2 linked regions of the Notamacropus eugenii genome follow. The protein of the gene in region 1 purifies or fractionates together with the protein of each later gene. This does not show direct contact. Links are inferred from orthologs where the notes say so. Each region holds a gene or a part of one and is shown on either strand. Other genes may lie near its edges.

Region 1 (7,634 bases):
AAAAGAAATAAAGACCTTATGAAAATACTGATCATGACTCAACAGTTTTTAAAAATTCAGATAACCTTTTTTATACATATTAGTAGTCAAAATGTGTGTATTTCCTTCCCACTAAATCCATGCACTCGAAAACAGATTACTAATGACTTTAGAGTTAGTTACATTCAAAAATGTCTAGTTCTTTGAAAAGGCTGAAAAGACTGAAAAAGCTTTTTCAGAGCCCACATCAGCAGCTGTGGTTTCAATCTTGATTTTCTGGAAATACCAGTGCTTCACTTTCTGGTGTGGGAAATCATTCTTGATAGACTCTTAGGAAAGAATTTCTGGAACTCCTTTAGTTAGTTTGTTAGTTTCATTCTATTCTTCACTGACTTATATCCATTATTATTTCCTTCAATGATATTACCAGGGATTTGGTATTAAAATTCTTCTGGACTAATCTGCAGACAGAGTCACATCAGTATCTGTTCCTGGGTACTTTATCTGGACCCTTTTAGATGAACTACTTGCTCCTCTACCAAATTCTTCAAGGAAGAGAGAACTTGCAAGATCTCCTGAAGCTTGTCCATCAGAAATGTCACTAGCCTAGAAGCTAATAGGTCATCCAAATCTACTTCATCCTTGAAGAACAGGATGCAATGTGGAAAAGTCTGAACCATGAGAGTATGGGCGCCAAGGCCATCATAGAACTGTGGCATCTTCTCTTTTAAACAGATCTTCAACATCATCCTCATCAACAATTGTAACTTCCTCTGATTTTCAGAAGGTAGGATGAGACAGTAAATCTGACATGCTTCAATAACAATTTTCTGTTTCCGTAACAAATCCAGTACACTGACAAAGGCATCAAAAATCTGAAGCATGAGCAGATGTTCCTTTAAGAGACATATTAATTATCTACTGTAGATTTAAAGACATTTTTCAAATCTGAATACATGCACTGCTTGAAGTTTGAACAACTAGGGCAATTTGCTAAGCATTTCATGGTTGATAGAGTACCCAAAAAGGAAATTCTTTGAATTTATCCATAAGATTGACAGGTCCTTGCTTACCAACACTGTATACTTTGTGGATGATAAACTTTGAGTTGACAAGGTCCAAAACTTCCTCCAGGAAAGTCAGGTTAAGGATTTTCTGTAAATGTGATGATGTCTTAGACTTCCAGTTCTCCTCTACATTAGCCTCTGTCAGCTGTTTCTGATAGGCAGATGGGGACTTCTCCATTTGAGAAACTGTGAATTTGTATTAGGTTTCAGGATTTGTCACAGTAGGCCTCACTGGTACATTTTCTTGGGAAGCATCTAAGTGCTGATCATTTCAGTCTGGGAATTTGTTAACTGTTGCTCTGCAGGGTGATCTCTTTGGGTATGGTTTCAGGAGGAAGAAGGAGGAAATCTGTGGAGAGGTTGGCTGTCCATGATCCTTTGGGAATATTTTTCTTTTAGCAGCTGTATTGTTTGTTTGAAAATCACTTCTGGACCGAAGTTTTGGCAGCACATGAGTAGATCTTGTAACCAATCCACATCTTCTGAGGCCATTTAGCAATGTTCATAACTTTTGAAATGACTTGGATGTTTCTGTAGGGGGGTATTAGAGACTAGAAAAAGCCCCATTGTTTTCATTCCACAGCTTTGTTAAGAGGTGGTGCCCAGGTTCAATTATTCTGTTTCACAGCCCCACCCTGGTGCTCCCCTTCTAGCTTCTTCGAATGTCCCCTGTCCCCTTCCCTGCTCCAGCTACACCCTGGCAACGCCTTGGGGACCAGGGGAGACACTTCCTGGGGAGACTCCAATTCCCCCAACAGACCAGGGAAATTGTAACAGTGATCTTTTCCAAACTGCTCTCTAACCAGGTCTCCCACATCTTAGAAACTAATTTCTCAAATAGATTATTTGAAGTTAATTTCTGAAATCCATAAGCTGGACTAAATCTACTTTTATCTCTATTACATTTCATCTTCAATTTGTCTTGCTTGTCAAGATTTTTTTGGAATCTGGGCATCATCCATCTTGTTAGTTAGCTGTACCTCCTGACTTGGAGGTCACTTGAAAATTTGATAACTGTGCCACCTACACCTTTAACCAAGTCATCGATAAGAATGTGAAACAACATGGGGTCAGTCACAGACGGACATGACACATGACATACAATCACAGATGGCACTTCTTTGGCCCTCTCTTTCCAGGCTGACATAGAACAATGAACTATTCTCTGAGTTTAGCCATTTAACTGCATCTGAAGCCTTGTATTTGCACTTTCATCTAGCCTTTATCTCTCCATCTTTTCAATAAGGATAGCATGAAATATTTTGTCACTTTTCTAAAATAAAGGTGTAAATTATGTCCATTACATTTCTCTCATCTACTAGTTTAGTAATCCCATCAAAAAACATGGAAACAAGGTTGGTTTGGGATGATCTATTCTTAATGAAGCCATGCTGGTTCTTTTGTATTCTCCTTATCTAGAGTTGCACAAACCCTGTCTTTAGTCATTCCTCCTAGAATTTCATAGGAATCAAAGTCAAACTTGCTAGCCTATAGTCTGCAGAATCCATACTCTTTCTTCTTTTCAAAATTGGGACAAAATAATAATCCCCTATTTTTATAATACATAAATATATAAATAAAACCTCTGAAGGATCCTCAATAATTTTTAAGACTATAAAGGGGTTCTGAGACCAAAACATTTGAGAACACTGGTATAACCCCGCCAATAGAAATTGGGACAAAATAAGCCAATGTGTCCCTTGAAAAGTTAAAAGCATCACCCAGATTTGTTGAGGTAAGGAAAATTGTTCTAACAATCAAATAGAGATAAGGACTGTGCCTGTGATCTCACTGGGATAGGAAAATCCCAAATGAAGAACTCCCTCTACAATGCAGGTCAGTAGTTTCTCTGCAACTTGTAGTCACAGAGAACTGCTTAAAACACTGACAAATTAAATGATTGATGCTAGGTCACTAGTATATGAATATACATGTCAGTCATTCAGTCAACAAGGCTAATTGTGGTAAAACGAAGAAAAGTAAAAGACAATCGCTGCCCTGAAGGAGATCACTGTCAAATGAAGGGGACAACATGAAAACAAGTATGAATAGATAAGATAAATTTGAAATAGTCAACAGAGTGAAGGCAGTAGAATCAAGGGGAACAGCAAAGAGGAACATGTGGATTGCAGAATATGTATGGGAGGACAAGATTTGTAGTCTAAGACAATGAGAAATGTGTGTATGTGTGTGTGAATGTGTCTGTGTGTGTGTATGTATGAGTGTGTGAATGTGTGTGTATGTGTATGTGTGTATGTATGTGTATGTGTGTCTGTGTATCTGTGTGTGTACGTGTGTGTGTATGTGTGTGAATGTGTGTGTATGTGTATGTGTGTATGTATGTGTCTGTGTGTCTGTGTATCTGTGCGCGTGTGTGTGAATGTGTGTATGTGTGTGAGTGTGTGTATGTGTATGTGCATGTGTGAATGTGTATGTGTGTCTGCGTGTCTGTGTGTATATGTGTATGTGTGTGTGTATGTGTGTGTATGTGAGTGTGTGTGAGTCTGTGTATGTGTATGTGTGTATGCGTGTGTGTATATGTGTATGCGTGTGTGTGTGTGTGTGTGTGTGTGTGTGTGTGTGTGTGTGTGTGTGCGCGCCCGTTCAGCACTGGGGGTGAGGGGCTCTGAACAAAGGCTCGCAGAGGATCTTCTCCGCTCCTGGAGGTGCTGAGGGGACGCCGGAGCTGAGCGGGAGAGCAGGAGAGAGGCTGTTGGACGGGGCAGGGCTCCAGCCCGGCTCTGCCTGGCTCGGAAGCCGTCCTCTGGCCATTATCCTACACACTAGCTGATGAACTGGACAGAAACCTGGCCCCGGGAAAGTCATTTTAACCTGTTTCCTCGTCTGTAAAATGGGGATAATAATACCTAAGAATAAAAGGAGACCATGTGTGCACTCTGTAGTGTCCCAGAAGTCAGAGCAGCTGTAAGTCACTGACGCTGAAACTTCAAGCCACCGAAGTGTAAAACTGCACTGAGGCTTTTGGGACACACTGTATAAAATGATGATTGATTAGGATTATGATTGCTCCACATTCTTCCTCCTCTTCCCTCTCCCCCGCCCCTCAGCCCCTATCCCCGCCCCCCCACTCCCGTCCCCGCCCCTCCGCCCCTATCCCCGCCCCTCCCCGCCCCTCCGCCCCTATCCCCGCCCACCCCGCTCCCGTCCCCGCCCCTCCGCCCCTGTCCGCGCCCCTAAACCTCTATTACCGCCCTGCCATCCCTATCCCCGCCCCCCCCCACCCCCGCTCCCGTCCCCGCCCCTCCGCCCCTGTCCCCGCCCCTAAACCCCTATCACCGCCCTGCCATCCCTATCCCCGCCCCTATCCCCGCCCCCTCCTCGTCCCTCCCCTTTCTCCTCCTCCTCCCCGCCCCCTCCTCGCTCCCACTTCCCGGCCGCCGTCGCTCTGTTCTCTGAGGAGCGCTGGGGGAGGACAAGATGGCGCTGGGTGGTGGCGCGGAGCTGTTTGGGGTGGCGGCGGCGAACACCCTGTCCAGCTTCACGTGCCCGGTGTGCCTGGAGGTGTACGAGAAGCCGGAGCGGGCGCCCTGCGGACACATGTAAGCGGGGAGGGGGCTGAAGGGAGGTGACTGCCCTTGGAGCGGGCCCGGGGCTCTGGCTGAGGCTGGGGGCTACTTTGAGCGAGTTGTGAGCGGAGAGACAGACCCTGAGGAGGGCGGGAGGGAGTGCGAGAGCCTGGGGGCCGGGGTCCGAGAGAGGCGAGGGAGGACCGTTGAGAGAAAGGGAGTGAAGATTAAATGGTGGGACCCAGGTCGGGGGGAGGGGAAGGGGGACTTAGGGTCAGACCTTCCCAGCTGTGTGACCTTGGGGTGAAGTCAAGTTAACTTCTGTGGGTCCCCCTTTCTTCATCCGTAAAAGGAGTGGAATGAACTCAATGACATCTAGAAACTTGAGGTCTAAAAGGATGATCTTGTGGTTCGGGGCAGAGGGAAATCCTGCGGGGTGGAGGTGCACCTCGGACGTAGGAGAGGGAGCGGGGTTTGAGGGAAGAGAACTGGGGGTGAGAGAGGAGGTCTGAAGAAAAGGGGAAAGGGGGTGGCTGGCTGTCGCCCCATTGGGGTGGGCATTGAAGTAGACCGAGGTTAAGGGGAGAGAGAAAAGGGAGTGATGAAATGCTGAGCAGAAATAGTCTGTGATTCTATGAAAAGAAATGTGGAAGGAGGAGAGGAGAGGGAAACAGACAGGAGGCGGTGAGGGGCTTTTTGTCAAGTTGATAAAGTGAACTCCGGTGAGCTAAGTGTGCTTTCTACTCGACCCTAACCAGGGAAAGTCACCAAACTGCCCTTTGAAATGTGGTTGTTAACTCGGGCGGATTCTATGCCCTCGAACTTTTAACTTTGACACAAAGGACGTGACGTTTATTTCCCTTTTCCTAACCCCTGTTTGGATGCTTATGATGGATGTCAATGACTTTGGTGCCTAGGATACTACTAGTTTAATATCCAAGAGTCAAGATTAACTGAAGCATTCAAAATAGAAAAAGTGGGTGGGGCATCAGTACTGAGCCTGGGAGAAGAAATGGTAGGAAAGTGAAACTGAAGGCCTAAAGCGAAACAGAAACTGTTTAAAAAGACCAGTGAAATTAACATGACATTAGTTGGATGTGATTTTAAAATCATTTTATAATCATCCACATGCCAGGTAACATTTGGGATGTGGTCTGTACCTCCTTACAAGGACTGAAGATTTTGGAACACAATTTTGTGTTAATTTGAAGAGGTAGTTTGCTACAGTAGAAATTACACAGGGCTGTGAATCAGAAGATTTGGATTCTAGTCCCTTTCTGCCACAAATTCATCTATGTGTTTTTGAGGAGGCTGGATTCTCTCTCTTAGCCTCAGCTTTCTCATATGAAAAATGGGCATAATGACCCCAACTCTTCCTACTTTCCAGGATTGTTGTGAGTATTCAATGAGATAGAAGTGAAAGTGAAGTACTATGCAACTGAAATTATTGTTAGAATTTTTTGTTGACTGGTCTCTGTTTTCATTGTTTCCTTGGGATTAGGTATCTACTTAAATTACTGTTTTGATGGCCTACACATGTGTTCAATAAGCATGTTTGGTCATTATTGCAGATCCAAATCCAATGTGTCCTTTCCACAAAAGCTTAATCCTGCTTTAATAAGCCTGGGGACAGTTGTAATTATGGGGAACACTGGGTAGCATACCAAGTGATACAAGTGGAATGTACTTGTTATCAGGATGGCTGCTGTGGGTAATACATTGCCATTGCAAGCTTTCTGGTAAATTTTATTATAAATACTTTGTCTTAAATCCACCACATTGGATAAATTGCTATTCATTGATGGAGTGTTTATTGTTCATAACAAGTAATTTTCTGTCATCAGATCTTCCTTAGTTGGCATACCACTGTTGTCTGATGAGGACACATGCAGAATGCCCTCCTTGCTGTGAACTCTTGTCAACCCTAACCCTAAATGTGCTCGATTCTATCATTTTGTTTCTGTTTTAGCTTTTGTGCTGTTTGCCTGCAGCAGTGTCTGAAACCGAAGAAACCTGTTTGTGGAGTCTGTCGAAGTGCTCTGTCTGCGGGAACCAAAGCTGTGGATTTAGAAAGGCAAATTGAAGCAACAGAGGCAACCTGTATTGGCTGCAAAAAAAATGTATGTACAGTAATCAAGATGGTGCATTCTACTTTTCGCTTGTGCCTTTGTAAAGTTCATTTGGTAAATAAGTGAGGGAATTTATTCTTAGTGGTTGCTGTGCTGCTAAACAATAATAAAATCTGATATTTATATGGCACTTAATGATTTAATAGTGCTTTCCTTTCTGCAGTGCTGTGGCTTTAGGTAGTATGAGAATTTTATCACTATTTTATGAGGAGAAAGAAAACTAAATGGTCAAAGAGGTTGAATTAACAGGTCATTCAATAAACTTTTATTAAGCACCTATATGCTAGGCTCTTGGGATACAAAAAAGAGGGAAAAGACAATCTCAGCCCTTAAGGAGTTCACAACCTAATAGAGGAGGAAACATGCAAACAGTTAGGTACAGACAAGCTATAGATACCATGAAAAGTAAACAATTAGAAAAAGGAAGGCACAGAAATTGAATGAAATAGTCAGAAGGCCAGTGTCACTAGATCTAAGAGTATGTTACATGTTGAAGAGTAAGATGTAAAAAGACTGAAAAGCTAGGGGTTATGATGAACTTTGAATGCCAAACAAGATTTTGTATTTGATCCTGGAGGTTATAGGGAGGCAATGGAGTTTATTGAGTAAGGAAGTGATATGGTTGGATATTTGCTTTAAGAAAGTCACTGTAGTGGGAGGATGGATTGGAGTGAGGAGAGACTTGAGGCAGGCAGACTAACCAGCAGGCTATTAACAGTAGTGCAGATGTGAAATGATAAGTGTCTGCCCCAGGGCGATGGTAATATCAGAGGACAGAACCATACCATATGTGTTCAAGAAATATTACGGAGGCGAAATCAACAGACCTTGGCAACAGATTGCATATGTGGGGTGAGAGACAGTAAAGAGTTGAGGATGACTCCTAGGTTGGGAAGATGATAGTGTCCTTGACAGAAATAGGGAAGGTAAGA
Region 2 (8,029 bases), on another chromosome or scaffold:
ATCACATCATGATGTCAACTTCTAGAACAACTATGATCTCCTCTCTTTGGTTATTAGAGCTACGTATGTTCTGGGTCCATCTGACCTTCCAAAGATTTTTGCCCATTACCCCGCTGGATGTGCTCTGAGCGCCATTTTAACCAACCAACCTTTCTCTTTTGTTCACTGTGCATTATACTCATTCTTTTTCATGCCTTTTCACTTTAAAAAAAAGTTTATTCAATGTTTTATTTTCTGCCAATTACATGCAAAAATAATTAAGATTTGTTTTATAAAACTTTGAGTTCCCAATTCTCTCTTCTTCCTCTCCTCACCCTTCGTTGAGAAAGCAAGCAATTTGATAGGTTATGCATGTTCAGCCATGCAAAATACATTTCTGTATTAGTCATGTTGTGAAAGAAAACACAACTAAGAAAGATAAAGAAAAAAGTAAGCTTCAATCTGCATTCAGACTCCATCAGTCTCTGAAGATGAATAGCATTTTTCATCTTAAATCCTTTGGAATTGTCTTGGATCATTGCATTGCTGAGAATAGCTAAGTTATTCACAGTTGATCACTGTACAACACTACTGTTTCTGAGTTCAATGTTATGCTCATTTCACTTTGCATCAGTTCCTGTCTTTCCACGTTTTTCTGAGAGCATTCTGTTCATCAATTCTTATAGTATACCATAACTTGTTTAACCATTTGTCAGTTGACGGACATCTCAATTACCAATTCTTTTTCACCACTAAAAGAAGTGCTATAAATATTTTTGTACATATGAGTCTTTTTCCTTTTTAAAACAAATCCTTTTGAGATACAGGCCTAGTTGTTGGTATTGCTGGGTCAAAACCATTGCATGGTTTCATAGCCCTTTGGGCATAGTTTTTCCATGCTTTTTCACAGATTGTTCCTCCATCCTGGAATTCACCTTCTCCTCATTTCCACATCATGGATCCCTGTCTTCTTCAAAGCTCAGTTCAAGTACCCCCTCTAAAATGAAACCATTTGTAAGGGCCTGCTTCCCAGAAATTACTTTTTATAGACTTTCTATTTAATTTTCTATGCACATTTTTTCTCTAAATAGAATACAGGCTCCTTGAAGTCAAGGACTAATTCATTTTTGTCTTTGTAATTCATATGCACTGTGCCTAGCATGCCTAGCATGTTGAATGAGAGGAATAGATGCATGGATGCATGAAGATTATCAGATTATGAAACCCAAAAGGAATCTCAAATTTCAATAATTAGTTGGTGACTTTTGTAAATACTCTAAAGGAATAACAAAATAACAGTTGTTATTTTGATAAACTACACAAAATCATTATAGGGAGAATATTTTAATTAACTAAATCCACAAAATTCTACTCTAATGCCTTGTCACTACATGGAATGATCCTGGATTCTCCAAGACTATGTCAACACAGCCTTAGCTCTGGCAGGTTTTACCCTGTTGGAAAAGCTTTGGTCACACTCCTTGGAATAGATCAGCTTTGCTTTTCAGGGATCCAAGTACCAAGGAGGCTCATGAATTCTTGGAACACATGCAACACATTAAAATGCATAATTTCCCTCCATCCTTTATGGTCCTCTTCCACATCCACCCAGTGACAGTGGCAGGATAGAGGGGAAGGGCATAAAGGGTACTAAGAATCACATAGTTGTTTTTTTACTCAATTTTGTTTTCATGAAGATCTGTATTGTCTCCTACCTCTCTATGTCCCTATTGAAAAAAAAAAACAAGAAAAATGGTATTCTAAGTATTAACATCTCTGCTTGGTGGCCAATAAGCAGATGTACTGCTGGAAGAGCTAAATGATACCAATCAACATCATTGCTGTTAACAAAACCAAAAGAAAGAAGTCACAGCTAATTGGGAGGTTGTTTACAGGTAGTCTTAGAGAGGCAAGGAAAGGAGTTGACAGTTGAAAGGCAAAGAGAAACACTGGTTCATGGGGCTATTTGGTCATCTCTGATTGCAGTTCTGTTTGTTAAAAGACCATCATTAAAATAACTTCAGTCTATACGCCAATGTCAGATGAAGAGGATGAAATGATAAATTCTTTGAAGAGTTGGATAAGAACCTCCAAATCCCAAAAATTCTGATACTTAGTAATTTCAAAGCAAAGTTGGGGAGAAGGTGAGGGTGTTGAGTAATACATGGACAGCATGGTTCAGGAGGGCAGCTAGGTGGTACAGTTGATACAGTGCCCAGTCTGGAGTCAAGAAAGACATCTTCCTGAGTTCAAATCTGGCCTTAGGAATTTTACTAGCCGTGTGACCCCGGGCAAGTCACTTAACCCTGTTTGTCTCAGTTTCTTCATCTGTAAAGTGAGCTGGAGAAAGAAATGGCAAAACACTCCAATGTCTTTGCCAAGAAAACCCCAAATGGGGTCAGGAAGAGTCAGACATGACTGAAAGGACTCAACTACGACTATGTGGTTCAAAAAAAAGTAGTAAAAGAAGTCAAAGACTTGTACACAGGAGACTCACCTTTATGTTACCTCAACAGAATCATCCCTGCTTCTAGGCAATCTTTTCATATACCTTAGTTAACTCTTTATCTCATTCACCATAGTGGTTCTTCCAGACCTTTCATCCCTCCTCAAAACCCCCACGGCTCCCCAGCCCCCTCAGTTAAGAACTTTGCCTCAGTTTACTGACAAAAAATGAGACCACTATCTAAGACCTCCCTCTTATCACCTCCTTATATCACATCACCCAGATGCCTTCTGCTCTTATCTCTTCCACCTTTGTCTCACATCAAGAGCTGGCCCTCATAATATTCTGCATTATTTAAGAGGGAGGCTATAAGCATTCATAGAGCACGTACTTTGTGCCAGGCACTGTGCTAGGTGCTTTGCAAATACCTCATTTGTGATAATTAGGTGAATTATTCTCTCCACAACCCTGTGAGGTGGGTGGTGTTATTACGCCCATATTATAGCTGAGGGAACTAAAGCAATGAGGTTCTCAAGTGACTTGCCCTGGGTCACACAGCTAGGAAGTGTCTGAGGTTGCATTTCAAGTCAGGTCTTCCTAAATACAAGAAGCACAAACAAGGAACTGTGTTCTGCTCCAATTTACAACCCATAGATGGAGTTGGCGAACCCAAAGACAGTGGCAGCCACTAGGGGGCTATCCTGTAAAGAGGTGTAGTAGCCCTGCCTGCTCCATCTTCCTTTATGCCCATGTAAGAGGATTCCTGCTTGTTTAGTGATAGTGATGCTTAGTATCATCGCTAATTAAGCCGCGCGACTTGTATGTTCTGTTGTTTCCATACAAATATATACACATATATGTATACATACATATATACTTTACTTAAAGCAAGGGTATGATTATTGTTAACTAATAGGGAGAGAGATGAGGGCTAGAGAATTAAGGTTAGATTTGGGGTAAGAACAGGAATAGTGAGGTTTTGTTTAGAGACATGGTAAAGGTTAGTGCTAGGGACTGTAACAGGGATGAAAACACGGACAGTAATTTAAATGAGCTTCTCCCCAGTGACAGCTGTTGCACAGGAAACCAAAAATAAGAAAAAAAGAGCCCGTCCGGAATCGGTCCCTCAAGAATTAGAAGGACATCGTAATCAAGGGGAAATGGTAAGGTAGATGCCCTTTGGAGAGTTTTAACTGAGGTCACAAAAACGCTGAGAGGGAAGCCGGTAACATTTTAAATAACAGGGTGGCCACCAAACCCTTCTATCCATCCATCTCTATCTGCTTTTTAAAAAGAATGGATTGGAAATTTTAAGAAATGTAAAAACGGACTAGAGCTTCCAGATAATTGGTCAGACCTTATCAAGCAAGTGAAGGAAGGCTCTGCGCTCAAGTCACTTTTAAGCCTAAAACGTCAAATCCTCTAGAAGCAAGTAACCTGGCTGCGGAGGCTGCACGTAGGACTGAAAGGAGAAGTCTGCGGGCTTGTCACCCCATGGACGCCGCTCAGGGCAGAGAATTCCGAGGGCTTTGTTCTGCGCACAGGCGGATCGCTGGAGGTCAGCACTTGCAGGCATGGGTACGGAGGTCACAGGGAGGGGCTGGCTCGCCTTCACCCCACCATCCACCTGCCCCAGCACCGATGGACGAGGGCAGCTGGGGGCGGTGAGTCCCCGAGCCAACGCAGCTCCATCTCTGTCACCGCTTCTGAGTCTCTGGCGACCCCCTCTGGGGTTCTCCTGGTCAAGACCCTGGCTCAGCGCTTCCTCTTCTGGCTCGTCCGACGGCCGAGGGAAGTGGAGGCCAACAGTCCTAAGGGGTCGCGCAGCGAGCAAGCGTCCGAGGCCAGCCTGGAACCCGGGCGTTCCCGGCGCCGGGACCCGCGCCCCGTCCCCCCCCCCCCCCCCAGCTGCTCAGTCATCGCCCCACTTTCGAGAAGACACAGACCTCCTCTTCACGTCAAATCCCAGCTTATCAAACCTTGGTTCTACATGAATTCACTAAAGTGTCGTTTAAACACTATTTGTCTGGCCTGACAGAAGGGGAGTGGGGAGTGGCTTGGGGCAGTCTGGAGGTGACCGGCCGGGAAGGCTGGGCCAGGGGCCAAGACTGGGGGGAGCCTCGGGGGAAGGTCAGGGCCGCTTGGGAAGTTCAGTGTGTGGGGGAGGGGGCCATAGCCTGCCTGCAGAATTGTTATAATATGTTCATCCTGACCCCGCTCACTGACCTACGGGGTCTCCCGGGGCTCCCCCGCCCGAGCGGGGCGGGGGCAAGTTTAGTTTTCCGTCCGGGGGCCGCCTTCAGTTTCGATTTGGGGCTGGCCCCGCCCTTCCCCAGCCGGTTCCGGGCACGCCCCCGCTTCCGGTACGAGGCGAACCGAGGCGGGGAGGGGCGCGCTCCGGCTGCGGCTGGGGTCCGCGGAGCGAGCGAGCGCGCCCTGCCATGGCGCAGGCCGCCATGGCCAGCCTGGTCACCAAGGACCTGTGCGCGGCCGGGGGCAGCCTGGGGCTGGCGGAGCTGAGTCACCGGCTCCCGGGCGGCGTTAGCGAGGATGCTCTGGAGAAGTCGCTGCGCAAACTGGCCCCGGGGCGCTTCGTGCTGGGAAAGCGCGGGGGCGGCGGCGGCGGCGGCGGCGGCGGCGGCGGGGAAGCCGGGGGCGGCGCGGGGGAAGCCGGGGGCGCCGGCGGCGGGGCCCCGGAGAAGCGGGTGCTCGTGGCCGCCACCGGCGCCAGGCTGTGCCCCGCCTACTCGGCCGCTTGCCGCGGGCAGTGCGGGAAACTGCACCTCTGCAAGTTCTTCGTCTACGGAAGCTGCAAGTTCTCGAGCAGCGGGTGAGGGTCCCGCCGGCTCGGCGTGTGAGGGCCCCGGGGGAGGGGGGCCATTCCCGGGGTCACAGCCGCGCGTCTCCGGCCTCGGCCCCCGGGCCCCCTCCTCCATCCTCCTTCGAGGCCGGCGCTGCCGTTCTAGCGTCCCACCGACGGGGAGGTCGAGGCCAGAGGGCCGGGGGCCCGTTCAGTCTCCCAGCCGAGGCCGGGCTGACCCGGTCCGTCAGAAGCTCCAGCCGCTCGCCCCTTTAAATGCGTCGCGTGACCACCCGCTATCCCGCGTCCTCCCGCGCGGGGCCGTGGGGCGGTGGGCCCCGCCCCCTTTCCTTCCCTTCCCCCCCCCCCCCCCGCCGTACTTCTAACCTTCCTGCCGTTCAGTCGGCCTCAGTGGGGCGCTGTGGCGCCCTATGGAGGGGGTCGGGCCGGGCCGGGCCGTGACCGCGGCCGCTCGCGGCACGGTCCTCACGGCTCGGGGGAGCGCTAGGTGAGAGGACGCCAGGGCGGGGGCTGCGGCCGGGCCGGCTCCGCCGTCACTTGGTTGTGCGGATGAGGAAACTGAGGCCCGGGCCGCCAGGGCGGGGCAGCTTGTCCACGTGCTCCGGAGAGGTGGGAAAGGTGTTCCCCGAGGTGAGCCGCTGCCGGAGCGAGCTGGAGGTGCGGCCCTGGAGCCCGGAGAGCCCGAGCCCAGCCTCGTTGGGTTTGCTCCCTTCGTGACTTCCTCCTTCGTGACCTGAGGACCCCGTGGGCCCGGCCCGCCCCGCTCCTGGAAGCCAGCCACGAACTTCCCAATTTGTCTGTAGTAATGCTGCTTTTGCGTACCGTGCCCGCTTCGTGCCAGGCCCGCCCCCGCCTTGGTATCCAGATCGAAGCCAGCCTGTTATTAAAGCTGGGACTGCCCTTGGCCAGGAAGGATGGCGGACGACAGGGGAGAGACTTGGGGTGTAGGTGGTAGGGACTGAGAGAGGAGCAGGGCCCAGCGGAGAAGGGGCGTGTCCTTGTCAGAGAAGCCGAGCCATCATGGTGGTGTGGGAGCTGGGGCTCCTCCCTGGCCCCTCAGGAAGGAGGGAGTGAAGAGTTGTTTGGATCATTCTCTATCCCTTGTACACCCTCCTCCCATCCCTCCTTGCCAGCAGACCTCCAAGGCCTGGATGATGCCTTTCTGTCTAGACTGACTCATCTGTCTTTCTGTTTGTGTCTGTCTTTCTCACTTGCTCAGATTGCCCCAGTCCACGCCTGGTTGTGGGATTGTTCCGGCCCCCCATCTCTCATTTCTGTGGCAGGCTGGCACATGCCAGGTAGCTAAAGACTCCTCTTCCTCTCCTCTTTTCAGTCATATCTATCATGGAAGGGAACCTGGATGAATGGTATCATTCTCCCTGTTGATGTCAGGGAGAGACTGGTGCTAGCTCCAGTATGGTGGCTCTATCTTCTGGCTGTGTCCGACCTGTGGGTTCATTTTTTTCCCTTTTTATCCAGTACCTAACCCAGTTTCTGGCTCAGAGTACCTACTTAAATGCTTGTTGATGGGGGCAGCTAGGTGCCAAAGTGGATAGAGCACCAGAGTCAGGCTGACCAGAGTTCAAATGGAGCCTTAGACGCTTATTAACTGTAAGACCCTGGGCAAGTCTTGAAGCCCTGATTGCTTCCTCCCCCCGAAAAAAGCTTATTGATTGATCTGGAATGTGGGCGATCTATAGTATAGTTTGGGAACACTGACCTGTCAGATTATTTTCAGCTTTAATGAGTCTGTGATTAATAATTCCAAGGGAATTTCCCCAGATCACAAAGTGGCAGAGTCAGGCCCCCGGTTCTCCTGATTTCCTTTCCAGTTATCTTTACAACAACAAATGCAAAAAAATGATTTTCATTAAGCTGAAATCTCACCAAGTTTCTCCTTTGCTCAGTAAAGTCCAGCAGTTCCTTATAGTCTCCAGAATAAACCATAAAGTCTTTTATAACCATGTTCCCACCTCTCTGTCCTGCATCATTATTCATTCCTGACTTTTGTGTACTCTGGTCAGGCCAAACTGGCCTTCTCTTGGTTTCTCATGCAAGACACTCCATCTCCTATGTAGTGGCTGTCTCCCATACCTGAAGTCCACTCTCTCCTCATCTCTACTTCACAGAATTCCCAGCTTCCTTCAAGACGCAGCTCAGACACCTTCAGCATCCCCTCAAGCGCTGGTGCTCTCCCCTCAGATTGCCTTATGTTTAACTACTTTGCATTTATTTGTATTGAAGCTCTATGTTGTGGGTGTATATGTATATATGCATACACACATGCCCACATGTTTGTGTATCCATGTATATTCTGTATGTATACATACATGTGTGTCCTTCATGTTTCCGTCATTAGAATCCATTTCCTGGATCCGTGATTAGGTTGTTAATAAACACTTGATCGTTCAACTACCAAGATATTAGTTCACAAGGACTGCCAGACCAGTGGGAATCCTGTGCGAGTTGGAAAAATGATCACATTAGAGAAAAATGTAGATTACAGGTTGACCTTTGGCAAATTCCCAGATGTTTCCTGGTCATGGCTGATTTAAAGATCCTTATCATCTTGGCAGTTGTTTGTGTAGTCTGAGGCGAGGACTTTTGACAATTTATTTCACCAAATTGGGGACGTGGCAGGGAGTCCTTTAAAGTACTGTATGAATGAGTTATTTTTAGTAAGGGTATTTTGGCATTGGGTGGAATTTTGTAGCTTAAAAAAACTCCTCTCCCTCAAAGAATAAAAGACCTTCAGATTTTTCCTATCTCTCCTTCCTTGTAAC

Evidence for each region.
Region 2: the proteins of RNF114 (region 1) and PARP12 purify together in Homo sapiens (affinity purification with mass spectrometry; 3 studies listed by BioGRID and IntAct, counting the BioPlex papers as one, with this or other methods). This does not show direct contact. The link is inferred for Notamacropus eugenii from reciprocal best matches to the Homo sapiens genes RNF114 and PARP12.

What each region holds. Positions count from the first base shown.
Region 1 is NC_092872.1:517,084,595-517,092,228, reverse strand, and holds the start of RNF114 (E3 ubiquitin-protein ligase RNF114), read left to right. Parts: upstream 1-4,371; 5' UTR 4,372-4,484; coding exon 4,485-4,606; intron 4,607-6,542; coding exon 6,543-6,693; intron 6,694-7,634. UniProt on the Homo sapiens protein: E3 ubiquitin-protein ligase that promotes the ubiquitination of various substrates. In turn, participates in the regulation of many biological processes including cell cycle, apoptosis, osteoclastogenesis as well as innate or adaptive immunity.
Region 2 is NC_092874.1:108,949,936-108,957,964, forward strand, and holds the start of PARP12 (protein mono-ADP-ribosyltransferase PARP12), read left to right. Parts: upstream 1-4,776; 5' UTR 4,777-4,866; coding exon 4,867-5,255; intron 5,256-5,606; exon of another isoform or gene 5,607-5,656; coding exon of another isoform or gene 5,657-5,733; intron 5,734-8,029.